Lytechinus pictus: one gene and its partner. Each later gene encodes a partner of the first gene's protein in a complex. Links are inferred from orthologs where the notes say so. Each region holds a gene or a part of one and is shown in the gene's direction. Other genes may lie near its edges.

Region 1 (8,455 bases):
TTTATATTACGTTATTTACATTATTTACGTATTGGAGAGATCAGCGTCCAACAAGCCAAGCTTCTCAGCTGGTCTCTCTTTTCATTTCACCCCTTTCTTTTTTTAATATACACAAGAATACTCATACTTTTAAGAATGTTACGTTTTATGAAATGATGAAATAAGTATCGTATTTTGTTCGTATAATTTACATTACCCAATTTTAGCAAATGTAAGGTCGTTACTTTTGTTCATTTTTGTAATTGTATTTATGTATTTGTATTTATGTATTTTTGACTTGTATGTGAAAAATGGAAAGAAAAGAAATGAAATAAATCAATAAATCTAAATCTAAAAAATCTAAATCTAGTTAATAATATATTTACTGATGCATCCTAGTTGTAATTACAAAAGTGATTGAAATGTCCAGTTTTCAGGCCATCATATCATCAGATTTTGCGCTCTCATTAGGCATTAATGAATAATATATTAATTCAATAATTGAATTGTCCCTTTTGTTTCATCTCGAGCTTAGCAAGAGGAATAGGAAGACAGTCTTCATTTTCATATGATGACATGTCCTATAAGGACATTTTCATTATCCAGTTTCAGATCACAATATCAAAAGTTTTTTGCTCGCGCCTTGTGCTCTCATTATTAATGTATAAAAATTCCCTATTACTCATTCTTTTCATGATTTACAAAACATGAAACATGAATGTCCCGTTTTGAGGTCTAAATCTTGGTTTTTTCCAGCTCGCGCTTCGCGCTCGCATCAATTGTTTAGTTATATTGCTATCTTGTTCACGATTGTAAAAATTTATTAAAATTTTCCATTCCTTATGTAGAAATGTCAATTTTTTTCAGCTCGCGCTCCGCGCTCTCATGATTTGATTGTTGAAATATGTAACGTCTTCATGGCTAAGTGCAGTCCTATAACAGGTACCTTTTCGATCAGTTCAAAACGCATATGAAAATTTTCTGCTCGCGCTTTGCGCTCGCATTATTAATGTAAGGAAGATCCCTAATTACTCATCCTTTTCATGATTTACAAAACATGTCTCGTTCAGTAGGTCTAAATCTCGAAATTTTCCGCTCGCGCTTCGCGCTCGCATTAATTGTTTAGTTATATACCTTTTCTGTTTAAGTTAAAAAAAAGTGCTTAGAATTTCCATTCTTCGGGTAAAAATGTCGAAAAATTTTAGCTCGCGCTTCGCGCTCGCAATATTTGATTTTTTTGAAATATGTAACGTCTTCATGGCTAACTGCATGCAATCTTTAACAGGTACCTTTTCCATCAGTTCATTTCTGCTCGCGCTTCGCGTTCGTGGTAATTATTTAGCTGCATACACATCTTTTTCAGGATAACAAACATTGCCCAGAATGTTCAAATTTTAGGAAAAAATACATAAGATTTCCAAAAAATTTAGCTCTCGCTTCGCACTCGCATTATATAAATAAGGATTATGATATATTTATGTTGATTAATAAGAATAGAGCCAAAAAGTGACTATTAGGATTACACCTTCAAAGAAACCAAAAATCATCTTCGAGCGGCCGATCGGGGAAAATATGGCTGAAAAAAATTCCGGGCCCCCCCCTATTGGCAAAGGCTGGATCCGCCCCTGCATGGTCAGTATATATGCAAATGAGGTGACTGATGATGACGTCACCCACTGACTATTTCTTGTGTATTTTATTATGTAAAATATTAAATAGTTCTAATTTTCTCCTCATTATCATGTGAAACAATGTTTTGTTCCTCCCTGAACATGTAAAATTACCAATATTCACTTATGGTTCAATCAAGTTGGTCCCTATATTGTCCACATCGGTAAAAATTGAAATATTGTACAATTCAAACATAGTGCGAGAGACATCAATAATCGACTAATTTGCATATCACTGAGTTGTGCATATAAAGTTTATATAGTGAAAAATAAGCAAAACTTTAAAATGCCATAGCTTTCTTATTTTACATCCGATTTTAATGAAATTTGTATTGTTGTGCTTGTTTGATTTTTTTTCTATTTATTCAAATCATCAGTTTTTCTAGGTTGGACCCCTCGGATTAGACCTTTAATACACGAAACGGGCCTTTCTTTGAGATGAAAGGGGTACCGAACACGTTTGTCAGCGGGACCGTTTTCTTGGGTAAAAGGGTTTTCAATGAGGACACAGTGCCGCTCCCCCCCCCCCCCCCCCCGGTGTTATCGAAGTCCACATAGTAAAAAAAAATTATACAACGCTGTTTACTATATGAACCTTACAGTAATTGTTTAAACAGTTTAAACAAGTGTTTAAATCTTAAAGGGATGGTCCGGGCTGAAAGTATTTATAGCTTAATAATTAGAATAAAATTCACTGAGCAAAATGCCGAAAATTTCATCAAAATCGGATAACAAATAACAAAGTAAGTTAATTTTAAAGTTTAGCAATATTTTGTGAAAACAGTGGTCATGAATATTCATTAGTGGGCTGATGATGTCACATCCCCACTTGTTCTTTTGTATTTTATTATATGAAAATAGGTTTATTCAAATTTTCTCTCAAAGAACTAGAAAAATTGGATTGACAACTGATTTAGTGCATTAGATATTTATTGATGCAACTTATTTCATTATAAGGGAGACATATTATTCACACAAGTATGAAATAATGAAAAATATGATTTTATGTAATAACATAAGAAAACGGAAAGTGGAGATGTGACATCATCAGCACACCTAATGAATATTCATAACGACTGTTTTCACAAAATATTGCTAAACTTTAAACTTCAATAACTGTATCATTTGTTATCCGATTTTGATGAAATTTTCGGCATTTTGCTCAGTGAATTCTACTCTATGTCTTAAGATATAAATATTTTCAGCCCGGACCATCCCTTTAAGCGACAAAGTTTAATTTTCAATATCTAAACATGATTGTTTAAACGGTTAAATAAATACTGTAAGGTTCATAATAGTAAACAGCGTTGTATAAAATCTTAAACAGCGTTTTTACTGTGCATGCCCCTTCTCAAATTAGGATTAGGATCTTGAGCCACTTCCGTTTTGGTTTTAATCCTGTAGGCAGTTATCACATAAACTATATTTATACTTTTGTTTGCGGAGATAATGCAGCGTTAAAATTATAATTGATAAATGGGACGCATTGTAATATTTTAATAACACGGACATAGGCAGGGGCGGAAATCTCTCCCAAAAGGTAGGGGGGACACAGGGGCGGATCCAGCCTTCGCCAATAGGAGGGGGGGGGGGCGGAAATTTGTTTCAGCGAGTATTTTCCCCGATCGGCAGCTCGAAGATGATTTGTGTTTTGTTTCTTTGAAGGGGTATAGTCCCCATTAGTCACTTCTTAGCTTTATTCTTATAAATTCATGTATAATATCATAATCCTTATTTATATGATGGGAGCGCGAAGCACGAGCTAATTTGTTGGAAATTTTATGTATTTTTTCCTAAAATTTGAACATTCTGGGCAATGTTTGTTATCCTGAAAAAATTACTACGAACGCAAAGCGCGAGCAGAAATGAACTGATGGAAAAGATACCTGTTAAAGACTGCGTGCAGTTAGCATTTAACAATCAAATAATGCGAGCGCGAGCTGATTTTTTTTTTACATTTTCACCTAAAGAATGAAAATTGTAAGCGCTTTTTGTAACTCAAGCAGAATAGGTATATAAGTAGACAATTGATGCGAGCGCGAAGCGCGAGCGGAAAGTTTCGAAATTTAGTCCTATAATATTTACTGAACGAGACGCTCTATTCATGTTTTGTAAATCATGAAAAGGATGAGTATTAATAATGCGAGCGCAAAGCGCCAGCAGAAAATTTTTATATACGTTTTGAAATGGTACCTGTTGAAAAGGTATCTGTTAAAGGTCAAGTCCACCCCAAAAAAAAGTTTATTTAAATAAATAGAGAAAAATCACACATGAATAACACTGAAAACTTCATCAAAATCGGATGTAAAATAAGAAAGTTATAAAGACATTTTAAAGTTTCGCTTATTTTTCACAAAACAGTTCTATGCTCAACTCAATGATATGCAAATGAGAGAGTCAGTGATGTCACTCTCACTCACTATTTCTTTTGTTTTTTATATATTGTTTGAATTAAACAATATTTCAATTTTTACGAATTTGACAATTAGGACCCCCTTGCTTGAACCACAAAATGTTAAAATAATGGAATTCCACGTGTTTAGGGAGGAATGAAGCACATGACAATGACAATAAAATCAAAATATTTCATATTTCATATAACAAAAAAAAAAGAAATAGTGAGTGGGTGATGTCATCGGTCCCTTCATTTGCATACCGAACAGGATGTGCATATAACTGTTTTTAGAATTTAAGCGAAACTTTAAAAAATAATATAACTTTCTTATTTTTCATCCGATTTTGATGAAATTTTCAGTGTTATGCTTGTTTGATTTTTCACTTTCTATTCAAATCAGCTTTTTGTTGGGGTGGACTTGTCTTTTAAGGACTGCTTGCACTTAGCCATGAAGGCGTTACATATTTCAACAATAAAAAAATTGAAAATTTTAATCAATTTTTGTAATCGTGAACAGGGTAGCTATATAATTCAACAATTGATGCGAGCGCGAAGCGCGAGCAGAAAAAAAAAGAGATTTAGACCTAAAAATTGGCCACTCTGTTCATGTTTTGTAAACAGCCATAGGCTGATCGAGGGCTTTTTACCGTGTTTAAATAAAATAAATCAATTGAGTAGGGGGGACACGCCCCCCCCTGTCCCCCCTGGGATTTCCGCCCATGGACATAGGCCTAATTCTTTTTATAGCCCTACCATACACTGCAATGCCAAGCAAATCTGAAGTTGAACTTTACAAAATATTGGTGAAGGTTTAAGGAAAATCCATCAAAGATTTTAATATTTTTTTTATTTGTCACGTCATATGCGAGCAGCTTCCCATATATCGTGTATTTTAAAAATTCAAGGAAATGTCATTTTCTCAAATAATTTGAAAATAATTTACCATAAACGGCCAATTTCACATCCGCTCCTGAAAATTTTTTTTTAGTCATCATGCACGAACTTCCCACAAAAAAAAGAACTTTATACATTTTATATTACATGACATAAACTATGGGACATTTTTTACGTCACAAAACAAAAACTATAAATTATAATTATAACTTTCTTAATCTATGATGGCTTTTCCTCAAAACTTCATTAATATTTATTTGTTATTTTTTTCTGAATTTAACCATGGACCTATTCTTTTCGTAAGGAAAAAGATTTGTTACCGCGCCGGCCCTCAACGTTCTTTGTTTACACCAAGAAATCGCAGATACAGTGCTCTGGCAGGTAAAATAAATTAAAAATATGCTTGTATTAGTTGTAACTGAGTTTGAAGTCTCAATTCTTATTTTTTTATAATGAGTGGTGATATTCGTAGGTTAATTGTGCGGAAATCGCGTAGTTAAATTTAATGTAATTTTTATTGCGCTATCATATTGGTAACGTGTGCGATCAGCCGAGTGGCGAGTGTAAGTGCAGAGTGCAGTGCAGCCAGCTCCATCGGCATCGCATCGGAACTAACCCAGGGGCAGGGCCAGGGAGCTCCGGCTCGCGAAGCGGGTCGACGTCGGAGCCCAGGAGTCAAGACTCGACTTTTACCTAGTTTTCGTCTCATTATTTGCAGAAAATTGAGCAGATCAGATTCCCATGTTTCGATCGGCGACTCCGATTCAATTCGCATATATGGTAGGTATGTGACAAAAAAAATGAAAATCATCAAATATGAATAAATTTGGTATCACTTGAAAGCTCTTAAAAAGACCTTTAAAATGATACCAAGAACTTTAGTTTTCATAAAGAAATTATAAAGTTATTCCAGTTTAAGTCGCACATATTCATCCAAATTTGTGGTCATTGTCTTAATGTAAAGTCAATGGAGTACAGAATCGATTTTTGTGACCATTTTGTCATTTTTGTGACCATTTTGAACCCAAGTCTTCAACAGGCTCTAACTTCTTTGTTTTTGAGCCCTATGAAGTAATTTAGGTATCAATGGAAAGGTGAGAGAATGCTTAATTGATGTGTATCAATTCATCTAGTAATTTTTCTTATTATGTGTAAAATAATTTCTTCTAATTAATTCTAATTAATTATGCAAATAACAGAAAATCACAATTACTTGCCTCTTTTTTTTGCCAAATGAAGGTGATTATGATAGATAATTCATATAATTTAGTTGGCATCAAAACAGCATCATGTAGATAATTTCCTAATGAATTTGTCTAAAGTATTGTTTTTGTAATTTCTAATGTATTTCTTTGTTTTCTGATATAAATTACAAGCTCTTTTTCAACTTAGTATTGTAATTTTGTATATGTGTTTGTACGGGGGTCCTTTTTTACATATGAAAAAAAATTATTTTGTACTTTGTATGACCAAATAAAAATATGTGTGCTTTTTTCTGATGTATTTTATTGTTTCACCAATTCCTTATGTATTCTATTGTTTCAACAATTTGTTATAATATGTAGCTTTTGATTTGAGAGACAATGGACATGTGATTACATTTTTAGAAGGAATGAGCAGCTGAGTGTAAAATATGTATGTAGAATTGTATGCAATTTATTTCAAGTATCAAGAAGGACGAAAATGAAGTTTTAATATATTGTATCAGTTGTCAATTTCTTAGATTTGTATACATACATTGTATTACAAAAGCCCTGTTTGAGCTCTCTTTTTAAAGAAAAATAAATTCAAATTATTAGTCGAATCCAAAAGAAAAGGAAAAGAGTGGTCTATTTCTTTCAAAACAAAGCAAAAAACAACCATGAAAAATATATAACAAAGCTTTAAACAACAACAACAAAACAGACATCAAAGCTCCAAACAAGCACTAAAAACAAGAGAAACAAAAACTTGTACCAATCCCATCCCCATTTTCCAATTCAAAATACAACCCCCACCTGCACCCCTAAAAAAAGAAAAGTGAACAAAAAAATAAATAGTACAATTAATAATAAACATAAATACAGGACTCAGACCCATCTGGAAATGAAATATTCTTTCCTCTGAGTTTTCATGTATTTTCTTACAAGAGTGAAAAAAATTACAACATAAAATAAACAACATCTAGTTCGTGCATTTTAATAAAAAAAAATCAACATTTAAGATATTCTCCTTTCAAAAGCAAATCCAGTCTCCAAATAATGAAATATGAAAAAAAAATGAAAAAAATAAACAATACAATAATTTAAAAAAGAAACTTAAAAAAATATATTTAAAAAAAAGAAACTAAAAAATAAACATAATATTTGCATTTTAATTAAAAAGTCAACATTTATGATATTCTCCTTTCAAAAGCAAATCCAGTCTCAAAATAATGAAACATGATTGAAAAGTTTCAAAATATTTTTTTTTCTACAAAAGAAAAAAAAGAAACACTATAGATTAACATTAATATTCCACTTCCAAAAGAATCCAGTTTCCAAATGATAAAATATGATTCTATAACCTTAGGAGGAAAGAATGTTTTTGTGACAAAATGTATATATTTAAATCAATATCAGAATAACAATCTACGGTATAATGACAGACATTTTCAGAAAAAGGCACAATATTATCAAGTGAACAATTTAGATCCAGTTCAATCCAGCATGAACGACTCACTATCGACCACTCCCGTCACCAAGCCCTCCGCATCGGGTACCGGTAGCTCGACTGCCGAAAGACCGTCGGGAGCCCACCGCATCGGGCAGCTCGACTGCCGAGAGACCGGCTGTGACAAGGGTAGCTCGCGCCGCTTATATCTGGACTGCTCCACGAAAGAATCTTTTGATATTAGTTTTTTTTTCAATTTGAATACATTTTTAAAAGGTCAAGATACATAATTGGATTGCAGTTCTACTTACCATTAAAACATTTCGATCATTTGCGCATCCAAAAATTTGATGAACTTTCAAGCTCCGATATCCACACTTCACAGGCGAGTATCCACATTGAAACTTACATGTACAGAAAGAGCAAGTCTTCAACTGTCTGTATGGAGGCACGAGATTGCATCAACTATGTGCGCATGCGCATGAAACCCCATTTTCGATGAGCCGCCCAGACAGAGGCGATGCCACTTGCAGCAAAACCCGCGCGAAAACCGTGCAGCCAAAACCAGCGTTCGCGATGCGCCCGTATTCACACATACCTATATATGGCAAGTTCCCCCAAGTCTGCGCAGTCCCCCTTCCCTTGTCTGCGCACACGCGTATTTGCGCGATTCTAGTAAAAGAAGATACGCAACGAACACAGACTTTACACATGCAATACATAGACAGGTATTCATAAAAAAATCTGACTCAAAATGGTGGAAAAATAATGAAATTTGGGCATTTCATGTGACGGCCTCAAAATGCAGCCTTTCTCATCAAAATCCCCGAATCGTGTGCAAAGTGAATGAGTGCGCAGACATGGGGTACCATTTTTTTTTTCAATC
Region 2 (7,848 bases), on another chromosome or scaffold:
AAAGAAATCAGATGTAAACATCCCAAACCTACCTCGGGCCACCTTTTAGCGAACCTACCCGAGACCACATCAAGAGGTAGTCTCGGGTAGGTATCGGGCCGGCCCCGGTCCACCGATTCGTAGATGTAAACGCACACAAGCTTTCAAACCTATCTCGGTCCGTTCGCCAGCTGTCAAATTACGTCATAGCGCGCGCTATCCCCTCCCCAGCCCCGTCGTTCTTCGAATGTTTTGCGGCTTTTGACATGTGAATTGTGATTGATAAAGTCTTTGATTTTAGTGGAAAGAAGGAAGCACTTTAAACGTATTCTTTTCAAATCGATCATATCTTCAACGACTGCTGGGATCATCAGCATGCTTCCAGAATAACGAAATGTAAACAACTTCAATTAGCGCGCGCAAATTATTCAGAGCCTAGATCGAGAGTGCCCTTTGGTGTCAGCAATCGGATACCGCTCGAAACCGTACCGATAGGGGAGGGAATGAACGCTGTGATGTAAACAGACCACATTTCGGACTCGGTCCGTTCGCGAAGCTAATCCACCAATAATCCAGTCAAGGTTGCAAGTGGACTCGGTCGGGTCTCGGGTAGGAAACTTTCAGATGTAACAGGGGCCATATGTGTAAGTAAGGCCAGTAAAAGACCTCAAGCCAAGAGGGATTAAAATAATGAGGCAGGCAACATCAAACAGGATCTGGAACAAAACAGAGATAATGGGATGAAAAACAAGAGAAATAGTGAGAGGTGGGTCAAACAGGTTACAAAGAAAGGCTTAATAAACTGGTGCATAAGAGTGGGGGGGGGGGAAGAAAAAGAATGGGGAACAACTGATAATGTGCAAAAGACATATAAGTATATATGATAAAGCATTAAACAAACTAAGAGAAGAAGGTAAGTGTAAATATGTATCTATAAGTGATATGTATATAAATATATCCAAAAAAGAAATGTATATGAAAAAATATATAAATACACATATGGTGTAACTGATATTGTAATCCGCTAGGTGTGACGGGAAAAAAACATAAGACTATAAGTCTATATAGTAGGGGAAAAAAAAAAAAAAAAACACCCTGTATATGTGAAAAAGAGGAAGCAAATTGCCTAAAAAAAGTAAAAGCAAATATAGAAGAGAGGGGGTGTATTATGAAGAAACCATAGTATACATGTAAATAAGCAAATGTGGTAAATCTAAAAGAGGTGAGTGGAGAAAAAACAAATATATATATATATATATATATATATATAATAATTATTATATCGCCTGAATAAGGAAGGAAAAATTGGAGCTAAGCTTGTATGAGATATGGGAGGAAAGTAGAGTAAGAAACTATAATGTAACTATTCAAAAGAGCTGAGGGGAAAAACTATATGTATATAAAAATTGAAAGTGGATAGGAAAGAAAAATCAGTCGTTCCCCTCTTGGATGTTCAGGCCATGAGGTTGGGTGGTGCGAAGTCGTCTCATCCAGAGCTTCTCCCTGCTAGTACGGACTGAGTCAGGACGGGTACCTAAAGATTCGATGCCCTGTAGCATCATGTCAGTGATGGAGTGGTTGGGGAGGTTAAAATGGCGGCCAACTGGAGTGTCCAGCTTTGCTGTGTTGACGGTGGATCTGTGCCCGTAGAATCGTTTCTTGAGTGTGGTCTTGGTTTCCCCTATGTATTGTACCCTACAAACTCTGCAAGTGATGAGATATACAACATTAGTGGTAGTGCATGTGATGTTGCCCTTGATTTGGTGAGACAGGCTGGTAGAGTTGCTGGTGAAAGTATCGCCCTCGTGAAGGTGTATTTCACATATGATGCACCTGTTGCTGGTGCATTTGAAGGTGCCATGTTGTATGGGAGAAGAATGGTTAGTGAGGGAGGGCACTTCAGCACGAACAATGAGGTCCCTGAGATTCGGTGGGCGTCGGTATGCTAGAAGGGGAGTATCGGGAACGGCCTGTTGGAGACGATCAGAAGTGTGTAAAATCAAGGAGCTTCCAACTCCTTGGTAAAATGTGGTGGTTATCAAACAGGATTTTGCGGAGAGGGGGTAGATTGGGATGGAAGGTGGTCACAAGCGGTATTCTGTCGGTGGTCTCCTTGTCACTTTTTGGTTTGAGAACTTCAGATCTGGGGAGAGAACGAACTTTGTTAATTGCCAGTTGGACTAGCTGCCCTGGCCCGTGGCCCCTGGCACAGAGATGTTTCTGCAAATTCCTGGCATGGAAGGAAAAATCAGGGTCCTCGGAGCAGATACGGCGAAGTCTGAGGGCTTGACTGTAAGCGATGCCGGTTTTGCAGTGACGGGGGTGGCAGCTGGATGAGTGGAGGTACTGGTGGGTATCTGTGGGTTTAGAGTATAGGGTAGTGGTGATACCATTATACTTTTTCTGGACTGTAACATCAAGGAAGTGGGTTTCCTGTTGGGAGAAATCAGAAGTGAATTTGATGGTCCTGTGGAAGGAATTGATGTGGTCAATGAATGTATGGAGGCTGTCTTCACTCTGGTCCAGATGAAGAAAATGTCGTCTATGTAACGCCACCAAATCCATGGGCGACAGGGGGCTGAATCTAACATCTGCTGTTCCAGCTTCGTCATGAAGAGACAGGCGAATGAAGGAGCCATCCGGATGCCCATTGCTGTACCGAATATCTGTAGGTATAGTGCTTGCCCATGAATGTGAAGCTGTTTTTTGTTAGTACATGAGACATCAGAGATTTGATATCGGATATGGGGGGACTGGAATGGCCACTGGCGGCCAAGGCTAGCTTCACATGATGCTTGGATACCTTCGTCGTGGGGAATTAATGCTGGTGTACAGTGAAGAAACATCGAAAGTGCCGATGATCGCAGTCTCGGGTCCTTGATGTCATTTAGTTTCCTGAGAAAGTCTGGAGTGTCGTGGATGTAAGAGGGTGCACGTGAGACAATTAAGGGGCTTAATGTGGTAATCAACAAAAAGGGAGATGTTCTCTGTTGAGGAACCATTTCCTGAGAGGATGGGTCGACCGGGGTTGGCAGGTTTGTGGATCTTCGGGAGGAGATAGAAGCGGGCAGGTTTAGCATTAGTAGGGGAGAGAAATTTGTGGGCCTTCTCAGAGAGATGCTCGTGTTCTTTCATGTCATTCAGTGTCGATTTGATCTGTAGGGAGAAATTACAAGTAGGGTCAGAATCGAGGAGTGCATAGTGAGATCGATTATTGAGATGTTTCATGGCTTCATCGATGTACTGCTGGCGGTCCATAACAACGACGGCTGATCCTTTGTCTGCAGGCTTGATGATGATGTCGGACCTGTTTTTGAGTGATGAGAGAGCCTGATGAGAGAACCTATATATCTACGGAGGATTATCTATTGTTACTGGGGGTGCTGTGACAATGCTCAGCACCCCCAGTGACAATAGAATAATCCTCCGTGGATAGGTCCATGAATGAATTAAAGGACAAGTCCACCCCAACCATTAGTTGATTTGAATAAATAGAGAAAAATCCAACCAGCATAACACTGAAAAGTTCATCAAAATCGGATGTAAAATAAGAAAGTTATGACAGTTTTAAGTTTTGCTTAATTTCACAAAACAGTTATATGTACATCCTGGTCGGTATGCAAATGAGGAGACTGATGACGTCATCCACTCACTATTTCTTTTGTATTTCATTATATGAAATATGAAATATTCTAATTTTCTCCTCATTGTCAAGTTAAACAAAGATTAATTCCTCCCTGAACACGTGGAATTAGCATTGTTTTAATACTATATGGTTCAGTCAAGTTGGTCCTTAATGTCAAACCTGTAAAAAATGAAATATTGTATAATTCAAACAATAAAAAACAAAAGAAAAAGTGAGTGATGGACCTCATCGACTGTCTCATTTGCATGTCACTGAGATGTGCATATAATTGTTTTGTGAAAAATAAGCGAAACTTTAAAATGTCATAACTTTCTTATTTGACATCCGATTCTGATGAAATTTTTAGCGTTTTGCTCGTTGGATTTTTCTCTATTTATTCAAATCATCATTTTTTTGGGATGGACTTGACCTTTAACTATTCTGTGAAAAAAATAAAAATAATAAAAATAATTACTATCTGATATCCGATTTGTATCAATTCGATCACGATTGTTTGGCTTTATCTACGATGTGGGAATTATAGATCTACATGTATTTTTGTATATTGAATCATACCAATCTCCAAAATAGAAATTTCAACATAGTCTACAAGCACAGACTAAAATTTGACAACTTATACCATGACTAGATTGAAGACTCCAATTGTTTTGTCTGTGTCAAATCAGATTTGGTAGAATAGGCCACCGCTAATTGAGTGAATCTAGTCTCACTACTTCAGACTCTGCATATGCGCTGTGTGAAAACCGAAGGTCTGTGCCTGCAGACTAATCTCGACGCGGCACATAATATTTTGCTGCTTCCTTCAATTCTGCATGCACTCAGACACTTTGCGGAGACACACTTTGAGCAGCAGTGCAGTCAGCGCAGCGCTCTGCCGTGCTGCATGCTAGGCAGTCACTGAACTAAAAATACGTGGAAGTCGTGTTCACCCAAGCAAAACAGCGCCGGCGAAATCGATAAGTCACGTGACCGCCGCCATTTTGCTAGGTCAATTGTTCGAGAGCGCGCCGTAGAAGGCAATTGAAAATATGTGCAAGATGCAATATGTTTTCTCTATAAATATAAAATTAATAGTGTGGCAAAGTGTATTTTAATGTCATTAAGCCAATCATGTACAAACATATTTCTATATGCACAATGTACTGGGACCTGGTAATTCATGTAGTTAAAAAAAAGGGTCTAATTCAGGGTGACCAGATTTCACAAAATGAAATACGGGACAATCGCCTCATCAAAGAAGGCTACACGATGTTATACTTGTGAAAAAAATAAAAAGAATTGGAAGGGAGGGATAACGAAAGAATGAAGGAGAGAAAAAAAAGACGAAAGAAAAGAAATGAGAAAGAAGAAAGAACAAATGAAGGGGAAAATAAAAGCGGAAAGTTAGAATAATCAAAAGGACGATGAAAGAAAGAATAAAAGAGAAAAAAAAAGGTTTCCGTCATTCTTTGAATTCACCCAATATAGAAAGAAATAAAAAGAAAGAAAGGGAAGATGTGTGAAAGACAAAATAAGAAAAAGGAGGAGGAAACAAAGAATAAAGGAAAGAAAAATGTTTTTTTTTTCTTTGAAAGAAGAAAACGGGAAGGGAAAATGAAGGAAGGGGGAGGGAAAGAAAGAAAGAATAAGGGGAAAGAAGAAGAAGGAAAAAATAGAGAATGAAAGAAAGAATGAAAGAGAGGGAGGAAAGATTGAAGGGAGGAGAAAATAAAAAAAATAATGGAAGGAGAGAAAAAACGAAAAGAAAAAGGTGAGGAAGGGAGTAAATAAAAGTATAAGGAAAGAAAGAATGACGGAAATAAAAATGGCAGATACGGAGGAAGAAGGAAAGAAAGAAAATTAAAACACAGAAAGGATCAGGAAAGAAAGGTATGAAATATTAAAAGATGTAGATGGAACAAAAAAAAAACAAGGATAGAAGGATGAAGGATAAAAAGGAAAGAGGAAAAAGTTCAAACTTCAAGCAAACAAAAGCAATCCAGTCATCTAACAGAAATGATAATGATATTTGGTGTTTTTTTTTAATTTTGGAAAACTAAGTGGTTTAGAAATGAATAAAATTTCAAAGTGAAACATTGTCAACTTACAAATGAGAGGAAACAGCGCCGGCATCCTATATACACAACAAGACTCAAAAAGCTAAAACAACTGCATGTAGATCCCGTTATGAAAACTAAAAAAAACTTGTTCCTCCGATCCTATTTAATCAGTAATCTGAGAATTACGATCATAAAAATTTTCCGCCGATTTTGTGATTATTTTGGTGGAAAAACTGTTTATCATGTGAGATTGTTTGCATCATTATGCTCCGATCCTACATGCATAGAGCCTGTTTCACACACATGCAGGCAATAATACTAACCTCGTACTAGTGTGAGTGACAGGCAGGAAGCCAGCTCGTTTGCAATGTATTTGGTTAGGATAAAAATCACCCACAGAACTTGCAAAAGTTTTAGTTATCGATTTATTGTTGTCTCTGCTTCGTCATTCTGTTTGGTTATGTGATGAAAATTCGTCACTTTTTAATTTATCAACTATATTTTGTTCAATATTCTAAAAATACGGGACAGATATGTCCCGGGAAGGGTTTGTCGGGACGCCGGGACAAATTAAGGAGCAAAATACGGGACGATCCCGGGAAATACGGGACGTCTGGTCATTTGACAAGAGGTAGTGGTCTTTTTGTACAATTTTTGACTTGTGGAATATTTCATACTCACCAGGATATGCATATAACTGGTATGTGAAAATAAGCGAAATTTAGTGCAACAACTTTTTAAATGGAATTACCATTGCTATGACTTTCTGATTTGTGCTCTAATAGTAAACTTGTTAGAGTTGACTTGGTTTTGTTTATCCATCACCCATTCCTTTATGTAAAAGTGTATTGATGTAAGCACATGTCGTGCAACATCCATGCTCTTCCAAATTAAATTTCATAAGAATTCAAATTCTATTGTGCCCATTTTTACATACACGGTACTTTATAGTAGATATTTCCTTGCTGAGCACACGAAGGTCCAACTTTGAAGGCTCATTAAAAGTAACAACCTTCTTGCCCTTAAACTTCTATTCAATTTTTCACCCTGAATGTGTGATTGAAGAGTATGAGAGGGAGGGAAGGGAATATTTACTCAAAATTCATATAGAGAAAGTTGAAGGAAAAATTGTAAAGATGGAGAGAGAGAAAAAGAAACAGACGATCAACGAGAAGAGATGGAAAGAAGAGGAAGATCAAAGAGAAGGAGAGAGAGAGAGGGAGAGAGAGGGGAAATCGAGGAATGAGAAAGAGGTGAGGAGAGAAAGGCGAGACGAGAGGGAGATAAAAGAGGGCTCGATATAAGGGAGATGGGGAAATAAAAGAAAGATATAATTATGGGGAAAGAGAGAGAGGGAATGTAAGAGAGAGAGATGAGAAAGACGAGGAGATGAGAGAGAAAGAAGCCAAAGAGAAAGGAAAATAATAAAGAGGGAGATCGAGATGATATAAAGGAGAGAAATAAGAGAGAGAGGGGCATGAAAGTAGAAATGGAAGAAATAGAAGGGGATGGAGAGGATAAGAGAGATGGACAGAAGAGGAAAATCAGAGAAAATGAGATGAGATGAATAGTTGAATGAGAAGGGAGGTTTAAAAAAAAAGCTAGAGAAAGGGACATGATCTCTAATCGTTAAAAGATTTTTTTTTATGCAACCAGCTAGGCCTACTCAGAAAGCATATTTGTTGTGGGGCCTTTCCTTGTCACAGCGTGCGCGTGAAAAAGGTCGAGTTTTTTATGATTTCATGACTGTATATGTTTACTCCCCTTTAATACAAAAATGTGACTAAATCAACATTTTCAGTTATGAAAGTATTCGATAACATATAGTTCATGATGTAACAAAGCAAGGAACACTTTCTTTGCGTTCCTTTCTCCCATCTGCCTATATACACGCAGCATTTGCCGACCAGCCAGTATTGACCTAGCAAAATGGCGGCGCGCTCAGTCGAGCGTGAAGCCCGATGCTCTTCGTTGCCGCACGGCTTTGTGTACGTTGGGAATAGGGACACGCATTCCACGTATCTCTAGTTCAGTGTAGGCAGTCCATCAGTGAGGCAGGCCAGCTAGCGCTAGCTCAGCCGCTTCATCATGAGGCAGCGCGCTAAACGAGATCAGCGAAATGTTAATCAGCTAGCTGATCTTGATTGTTCAACGTCGAAGCGGTACTTTTAGTTGATGATTTTA

What was found.
Region 2: U4/U6 small nuclear ribonucleoprotein Prp31-like (region 1) and small nuclear ribonucleoprotein Sm D2 share a complex: the UniProt entries of both Homo sapiens proteins name them as parts of the U4/U6-U5 tri-snRNP complex. The link is inferred for Lytechinus pictus from reciprocal best matches to the Homo sapiens genes PRPF31 and SNRPD2.

The regions. Positions count from the first base shown.
Region 1 is NC_087254.1:21,095,966-21,104,420, forward strand, and holds the start of U4/U6 small nuclear ribonucleoprotein Prp31-like, read left to right. Parts: upstream 1-5,245; 5' UTR 5,246-5,319; intron 5,320-5,656; exon of another isoform or gene 5,657-5,718; intron 5,719-8,455. UniProt on the Homo sapiens protein: Involved in pre-mRNA splicing as component of the spliceosome. Required for the assembly of the U4/U5/U6 tri-snRNP complex, one of the building blocks of the spliceosome.
Region 2 is NC_087251.1:24,556,570-24,564,417, reverse strand, and holds the start of small nuclear ribonucleoprotein Sm D2, read left to right. Parts: upstream 1-4,356; 5' UTR 4,357-4,515; intron 4,516-7,654; exon of another isoform or gene 7,655-7,702; 5' UTR 7,703-7,848. UniProt on the Homo sapiens protein: Plays a role in pre-mRNA splicing as a core component of the spliceosomal U1, U2, U4 and U5 small nuclear ribonucleoproteins (snRNPs), the building blocks of the spliceosome.